Bombyx mori: one gene and its partner. The protein of the gene in region 2 interacts with the protein of the main gene of each other region in a pairwise test. Links are inferred from orthologs where the notes say so. Each region holds a gene or a part of one and is shown on either strand. Other genes may lie near its edges.

Evidence for each region.
Region 1: the proteins of methanethiol oxidase (region 2) and mediator of RNA polymerase II transcription subunit 31 interact in a two-hybrid assay, tested with the Homo sapiens proteins (2 studies listed by BioGRID and IntAct). The link is inferred for Bombyx mori from reciprocal best matches to the Homo sapiens genes SELENBP1 and MED31.

Annotation. Positions count from the first base shown.
Region 1 is NC_085122.1:5,746,493-5,750,558, reverse strand, and holds the start of mediator of RNA polymerase II transcription subunit 31, read left to right. Parts: upstream 1-1,266; 5' UTR 1,267-1,577; coding exon 1,578-1,593; intron 1,594-1,669; coding exon 1,670-1,759; intron 1,760-2,141; coding exon 2,142-2,311; intron 2,312-3,315; coding exon 3,316-3,462; 3' UTR 3,463-3,487; exon of another isoform or gene 3,488-4,066. UniProt on the Homo sapiens protein: Component of the Mediator complex, a coactivator involved in the regulated transcription of nearly all RNA polymerase II-dependent genes.
Region 2 is NC_085117.1:13,958,651-13,962,657, forward strand, and holds the start of methanethiol oxidase, read left to right. Parts: upstream 1-1,207; 5' UTR 1,208-1,967; coding exon 1,968-1,995; intron 1,996-3,421; exon of another isoform or gene 3,422-3,536; coding exon of another isoform or gene 3,537-3,546; intron 3,547-4,007. UniProt on the Homo sapiens protein: Catalyzes the oxidation of methanethiol, an organosulfur compound known to be produced in substantial amounts by gut bacteria. Selenium-binding protein which may be involved in the sensing of reactive xenobiotics in the cytoplasm.

The DNA.
Region 1 (4,066 bases), on a different chromosome or scaffold from region 2:
ATTACTTGACGCTGGCTAATGCACAAAACGTGCCAGAGCCAAAAATAAAGAAGAAGAAGAAGAACTGCGTTTATACCATAGAGTTACTACTTATTAACTCCATGGTTTATACATATATTAAGTGTATAATCTATGGTTTATACTGTCTAATTATTTCATAAGTGGATCAAAAAAATATTGAAAACTTCAACAATAATTCAACAAAAAAATGTCGGTGAAGAGTGAAGACGGTCAATTAGTCGTTAAAGTACAATTAGCGTGGTTTTCAGTTCAGTTATTTTTAATGATACTATTCATTACCATGCAATAGGAGATAGTTAAGATACTTGTATTTTATAATAAAATTAATAATTCCTAAATTCATACTTAGTTCAAAAAATGTAAATATAATGCACACAAAATCTGTTTTTGTTGAAATGATAATTATTTATAAGTTCAAGAAATATATTGCAGGGACATTTAGTAGAAATTCATTTAATATAGAAGAATAAACTTAGTATATATACTTATACTCTATAAACAGGATTTTTTAAGAATAATTATATCTATTTGATATATATAATAATATTATAATAATGATATTAAGTATAAATGAAGCTGATTAATACGAAACATGGCATGAAATGAAATGAGATGAGATGATATGGAATGAAATATAATTTCAGTAAAATGGTGGTTATTTATTGAGACTTTTTCTGTGGACTTGTTGGAGGATCCCGAGAAGTTATGTTCAGCGGCTATATTTTATTTTCCCACATTTGTGCACTTTTACAGATATTAAACAGTTAATAAACCAGCTCTATTAAACATTTAAACCAGATTTTTTTTAAGGGATGTTATGACCTGTTAACTAAGACCTTTAAGTTATATTTTATTTTAATTTATATTCTTATTTTTATGAAAAATTATAATATGGAGTGAAATGAAATGAAGATGATTAATTTGAGAAATTAATCAACTGGGATGAAATTAAATGGAATGAGATAATATGGGATGAAATATAATCTCAGTAAAATGGTGATCATTTACTGTGGTTTGTTCAGTGGACTTTTTGGAGGAACCCATTTAAACTTGAAGAAACATTAAATAGACAAAATAAAACAAATCACACAACTTCACTCATCGCGTTCCCGCCAAAAAGTTTAGGTATAGTACCTTTAGGCCAAATATTAAGCCTAAGTAGGATGATGATCATAGTCATAGACTAACTTAATGTGTAGTGTAGTATTGCTCGTATATATTAAGTGTATAATCTATGTATATTAAGTGTATAATCTATGTAGTATTGTGTAGTTGTGTTACGTTGTGTAGGACTCGGAAAAAAATATATACACAAATTTATTTATGTGATTTAATTAATTTAAAAATTTTAAGAGCTTACTAAGTACTGTGTAACATTTTAGTAATGATAAAATCTTAAATATCACATATTTATATAAGGATAAAATGAACTGTCTTGTGTAACCTGAAAATATGTTATTATTTTGGTCATAGATTTGTTGAGACGTACACCACTGACCAACTTGTTTAATTTTGAATAATTTAAATACTCCAGCTGCATATATTTCGGGTTCAAAATGATGGCTGGAAAAGGTAAGAAAGAATGAAATAATTTTATTTAACAGTTTGTTATTTCATGATAAATTAATAATCTTTAATTTAATTGCAGTAATGCCAGAAACTGAAGAGCAGAATCGAATAAGATTTCAAGTGGAACTTGAATTTGTGCAGTGCTTAGCAAATCCAAATTACATTCACTGTAAGTTGCCTTTTTGGTTTTTGTTGTTAGACTTCACACTCACCTGGTATACAATGATTACTAGAGTACATAGACATCATAATGTAAATGTTGCCACTTGAACTTATGCAGGCTAATGCTGCTCACTGCATACATACACTTATGGAAACTTATAATGATAACTTAATGTGATGACTGATCTGAAGCTATCAAGTTGGTCATCAAATCATCACAAGAGGGAAATAAGTAATAAATTGTTAGGTATTTTTCATACCGGTTTAATGATTTTGTTATTGTGACTTAGTTTCTAATCGTCTATTTTGTGATTAAATGTTTTTCTGCCCAGTGTTTTTAAATGTTATGTGTAATGGATGTCAATTATGTCAACTCTGTCTATTTACAGTTTTGGCACAGCGAGGTTATCTTAAAGAACAAACTTTTGTAAACTATCTTAAATATTTGCAATATTGGAGAGAGCCAGAATATGCTAGATATTTGAAGTATCCCATGTGTTTGCATTTTTTGGAGTTATTACAACATGAAGCATTTAGAAGAGAATGTGTATCGGCACAAGTGAGTACAAATTGCACCTACTAAATTATTTTCCATATAATCTTTGCTTGAGCGGTAGATAATGCCATAGGTTTTAAGTCCGCTGATAAACATTCTTCTTCTTCTTCTCTGTCGTTTCCTCATTGCTGAGGGTCGTGACCACCTTGGTCCAGTTTTTGAAGTAGTGTTTATATGAAGGTTTGTTGTGGCCTGAAGGCTTATCGCTCAGGCTGACCTGACGCATTCATATCAAGCGATACAAAGGTGTTCAGATCCTGCAGGCAGGTTCCAATTATTATAATGAGATACATACTAAACAAATGTTCACTATTGACTTCCACAGTTAAGGAATAACACCATCTAGTAAAAGAATCAAACTTGCGAAATTATAATTTGTGTAGTTACTGGTTGTAGGATGTCTTGTGAGTCCGCAGGGGTAGGTACCTCTACCCTGCCTATTTCTACAGTGAAGTAGTAATGTGTTTCGGTTTGATGGGTGGGGCAGCCATTGTATTTTTTTTTGTTTAGGCATTTACTTTGTACATGTCTATGGGCTCAGGTAACAACTTAACACTACTTGGCCTTTTTTTTTTCTGATATAGTTTTATGATTTATAGGTTTCACAGTATGATGTTTATGGGCTTAAAACCAAAACAGAGCTTGACTTACAAATCAACAGTAAAAAAAATATGCAAATGAAATTGAGCTAGTTTGAATGTAAGAATATAAATTTGGTAATTGTTAATGACCACGTACAAGTTACTGCAAAAGTCATATTATTATAATTTATTGGCTTTTATTTACCACCTCATTAGTAGCTGTGCTTTATTCTTGTACTCTACCAAATATAAAATTTATGACTGTGCCAAACTGGCCCTTGACCAAATACCGCTTTTAATTTTATCCGATAGCAGTATAATTTGTATGTATTACAATTTTTAAATAAAGCCTGTGTTTAGATCACTCTGATGGATAGGTACTGTTCAAAATATCTTCATTAATGAATGATTAATATTTTCCTTAAGGTTTGCAAATTCATGGACGATCAAGCAATATTGCTATGGCAACATTATACTCGTCGGCGTACACGCACGTTACAACCGCCGGACGCACCGGCGCTTCCTGCGCCGCCCGCACCGCCACAACAAGGTCCACCAAGACAACAAACTTAGGATGTTCATGATTGTTGTTTTAGAAGTGAGTGGAAAATAAAATAAACTTTTTATAAATCTATACTTAATAAATAAATCTACAGTGGTTTTTATGGATGTTCCGTTATAACTACTGAACCATGCATCCGATTGACTTGAACTTGTTATCCATGTAGAAAATACATGTACATAATGGATAGGCTAATTATATGAGTGTTGGACTCCCTACACCAGTTGCGGGGGCGTTAATGATGTGAATCTTTGTGGGGGTGAGAAATAATAATGTTAATTTTAAATGCCCAGTGAAGCGGACGGGTACAGATAGTAGTGTATAATAATGTTAAAAAAATATTGGGCATGTCCTCTAGTAGGATGTCCCACCGGGGGACAAAGATCTCCCTCTAAATTATCTAAATGGGTGTTAATGAAACCTCTTTGTTATGTTATAAAAATAATTTGGCTGATATTAAAATATTTGTTCTGTGTAGTAGTAAAATATACGTAGTCTTACTCATAAAAAATATATTTAATTACTTGAAATGGGCACTGAACGTTTTTCAAAACGAATTTTATTTGATTGAACATAAACAAATCCTTTGTATAATAACCGGCAAACTTCTTGAGC
Region 2 (4,007 bases):
TAGACCACACATAGGAACGTTGTTATTGGGTAGTTATACAAACGGAACACTTAAAATTGTTGATAGCACGATTCAGATTTTTCATAGGTTCCTTTTATATAGTGTTAAGCACAAAAAACAAGTTACTGATGGTAGGACCTCTTTTGAGTCCGCAAGGGTAGGTATCACCACCCTGCCTATTTCTGCCGTGAAGCAGTAATGCGTTTCGGTTTGAAGGGTGGGGCAGCCGTTGTAACTATACTGAGACCTTAGAACTTATATCTCAAGGTGGGTGGCGCATTTACGTTGTAGATGTCTATGGGCTCCAGTAACCACTTAACAACCAGGTGGGCTGTGAGCACGTCCACTCATATAAGCAATAAAAAAAAATAAAAAAGCAAAGGTAAGTCGATAATGCTGTGACAAAAACAAAGAGCCAACAATTGTACTACAGTTTTAAGAATTGGATGTAAAAGTAATCACTGAAAATGTATAAAGCTCCAGGAAAATGTTATAATAACATTTTTGAATAATTTTATGACGTCTTAATCAGGTCTTCAGCGTCAACAACGTAAATGAGTCTTAAATAAAATGGCGCTAATAATATTTATGTGACAAACAATTCTAAAGAGTTGCCTCCTGAATTTTTCCTTTTTAAAAGGTGACTTTGAGTTTATTTCCCTTTGTAATTTTTTATTATGAAAAATCTAAACTTGTTTTTTGGAAAAGATTGCTACGTATATTCCTCGTTTGAATGAAAAGTAAACACATTGTCCTTTACCTTAAACAGTGTTTTAATTTGAGTATTGTTGAAGTGGACAAAGGTGGGAATTTTGGATGCTCGGAACTTTTTTGATACATTCATGAGACGTTACTATGTTACTAATTTTCGCATAGTGGTTGGCTTAATTAGCAATTTTGCCAATTGATGTAATCTATTTCATCAGTTAAACAAAAGAAGTAACATCTCTCGACGGCCAAGTAATGGAACGTATGATGAATACACATTTTAACTTTTAACATACCTTTAACATTACATAAATAATATATCTACTAATATTATAATCAATACACTTTTTTTTTCAATTATACGACAACCTTATTAAACATGTTGGCGTTGTTTGATTGTCACATCCAAATAAAGAACCCGTTCCCGCATCCAAGACGAAAAGTCATTTGGGAAATTCGTAGGGTGCGAACGCCGACGTGGGGCGGTGTGTTTTCACTCAGTGTCGCTTTCGGCTAGGACGCGAGAGGGCGCCGCTCGCGCTCCGCTAAGCCACGTGACTCGTTGTTTGAATCGTAAAACAAACAAACAATGCTATCTCGATACAATACAGCTAAACTATGAGATCAAAATCGCTCGGAGATGAATATTACAACGAGACCGCCGTACAGTCACGGAAAACTTTTCATGTTATTCAGTTTCGTGGTTGCTGTGTTCCTAACGGGAGTATTTCTCCGGAAAAGAAGCAAACAATCGCAGCTCACGAATCCGCACGAAATTCAGGAGCCCGAGGACATCGAATACGAGTCTATGATAAATGCGAACGCAACGGAGCCGACTAAAACACGAAGAAAAGAATACCTGTACCGCCTTTTGACAAATACGACCCGTTCGCTCATACAAATGGAAATAAAAGCCAGGAGACTGGAGGAAAATATACGGAGGATCGAGGAGAAGACTGCGGATTTATTGTGGAAGAACAAGGACAAAGCGTTGTGGCACATCCTATTCAAGAACATAAGCAGGCACATTTCAATACGGCACGAGTTTCATCAGCACGCGAGCCTGAAGCGTATTATGAAAGACGCGCACTCACATAAACGCAAAACAAGAAGAAAATATTTATCACACCAATAAACATTTATCTAAAATAGTTTATACGATAAACAGTTTTGTGTATAATAATACGTTTAAGAAGAACATTATTTTTTTAAACTGACAATAAAAGTATTTTATGTAGCATCTTCTTAAAGTGTAACGAATGCAGTCGATTTTAGTCCGCGGAGCACGTAAGTCCCATATGTCAGTCTTATTTCCTTGTCACAGTATTATTGTGTCGTATTCGCCCGCCCGCCTAGTATTAACGAGAGAACGTTTTCTGATATTGCTCTTACTTTACGTTAAGGTAAAGATTGCAATTTGTTTTTGTCAAGGCGTATTCTGCACACGTAGGTATACCGTGATTAACGAGTTTCACACGTAGCCTTAATGTACGTGAATTAATTACATTTATATAAACGATGTTACTTGAATGTAGCTTTTAGGTATTGTTATTAAGTTATTAAATCTCTGGAACACGCTGTTAGTAAATTGGTCAATCTCAATGTTCGTTTATATTTCGATAGTAATTCTTTTTGGATGCGATTTGTTTTAGGTCGGAAAATCCTACAGTGCTTAAAGTCTATCCGGATATTTATCACGGGATCCGGGTATGTACGTGACCTAAGCCACCTCTAGCTACTGCTACTACATCTGCAGCTTATATTTAACGGGTGAAGGATGCGAGTAGAACTACCTGAACCCTCCGAACCCCTGTTGTCTCATAATTTTTCATCTGCTAGAGCTTAATGTACGGGTGAATTCCGGGATATCATTTCTTTCTGCGTCAAAACATAGATGGAATTAATGAAAAGATATGACTTTTACATAACATATCAAAGTGGGCGTAATCACGCTATTTTATGATGTCTATGACCTCTGCTTATCATTTAACAGTGTGATGCACTAGCTTCGCTACCGATTACCCGAACCCACACATGTCATGTGAATACCCGCAATGAGATAATATAAGATCGAAGACCACGTATTTTTGCCGAGAAGCACTCATCTATCTTAAATTGCGTTTGAGCATGTAGGTTGTAACGTATATGGGTGCAGTTAATCATCTAACACCAAGGAGCCAGTTCATTGATTTATGCAATTAAAAAATGCGATTGCAATAAAAATAAAAATAAAAATGTTAAAGAAACAGGGATACGTGCTGAAGTCCATGGGCAATGGCACTCACTCACCATCAGGTGGGCAGGGGGCCGGGCAATAAAATAAGATAAATGAATAAATAAATCAGCAGAGACAAAGAACATGAACTAAGTATATACTTTTAAAACTAGAGGTTTAAAACAAACTGTAATTTTTAAAACCGCCATCAATATATTTATGTCTGTTCATTTTTAACTCGTACGCCAATAATAATTAAAAACTTTAAAAATTGGTTTTCACACTTTAAAACGAAAATGATATAGGAACATATTTTATTATCACCCGTAATGTTTATTTTCTTGTCATGTATACACAGTATCCGCTACGTTCGGTTTTAATATACTTTAATCAAATATGAACGTTCTGATCTTAACGATTGAGTTTAAAGTCGTTTAACTTATTTTGTGGTTTGTGATTTTATGATTTTATTGACTGATATGCAAAGAAGTAGGTACAGGAAAGTGAACGTCAGATATTATTGTGTTTGTTTTAGTTCACAGTTCATTCACTAGTCGTTCGGTTATTCTATAGGCTAGTTGTTTGTTGTGTTGTGAATTTAATTTTGGAAGTCATGTCTTGTTGTGAGTTATTTTTTTTAACGCAAAAAGAATCATTTTTGTTTTATCACTCAGTATTTTTATGGTGGAAATAATTGGTTAATTAATTGTTTAATTAACATTTTATCGGCAGAAAGCTAGTGTTGTAGCCGGTGACAGTGACTTGTAATTATTTTAAAAAGATAGCTATTTTTCTCGTAACTAACGGGTACAGTGACTTGTGATTGTCGTAAAATGTTAGCTATTTTTGTTTTATAGCATGGTTTTTGCTAAATTTTGGGTATTCAAGTACAATGTTTAAAATGAAAATAAACTTTCATGTTTCTCAAGTGATTACAAATAAGTTTTTATATTTTAAGACCCTTTGGATTTTTTATTTAAGATAACATGAGATGTATTATTATTTCCTAACTAATATTTCAAAGGTTATGTTAGAAACTTGATTCATTAACGGTGCTTTTAGGTACTTGAGGTACCTGAGGCAC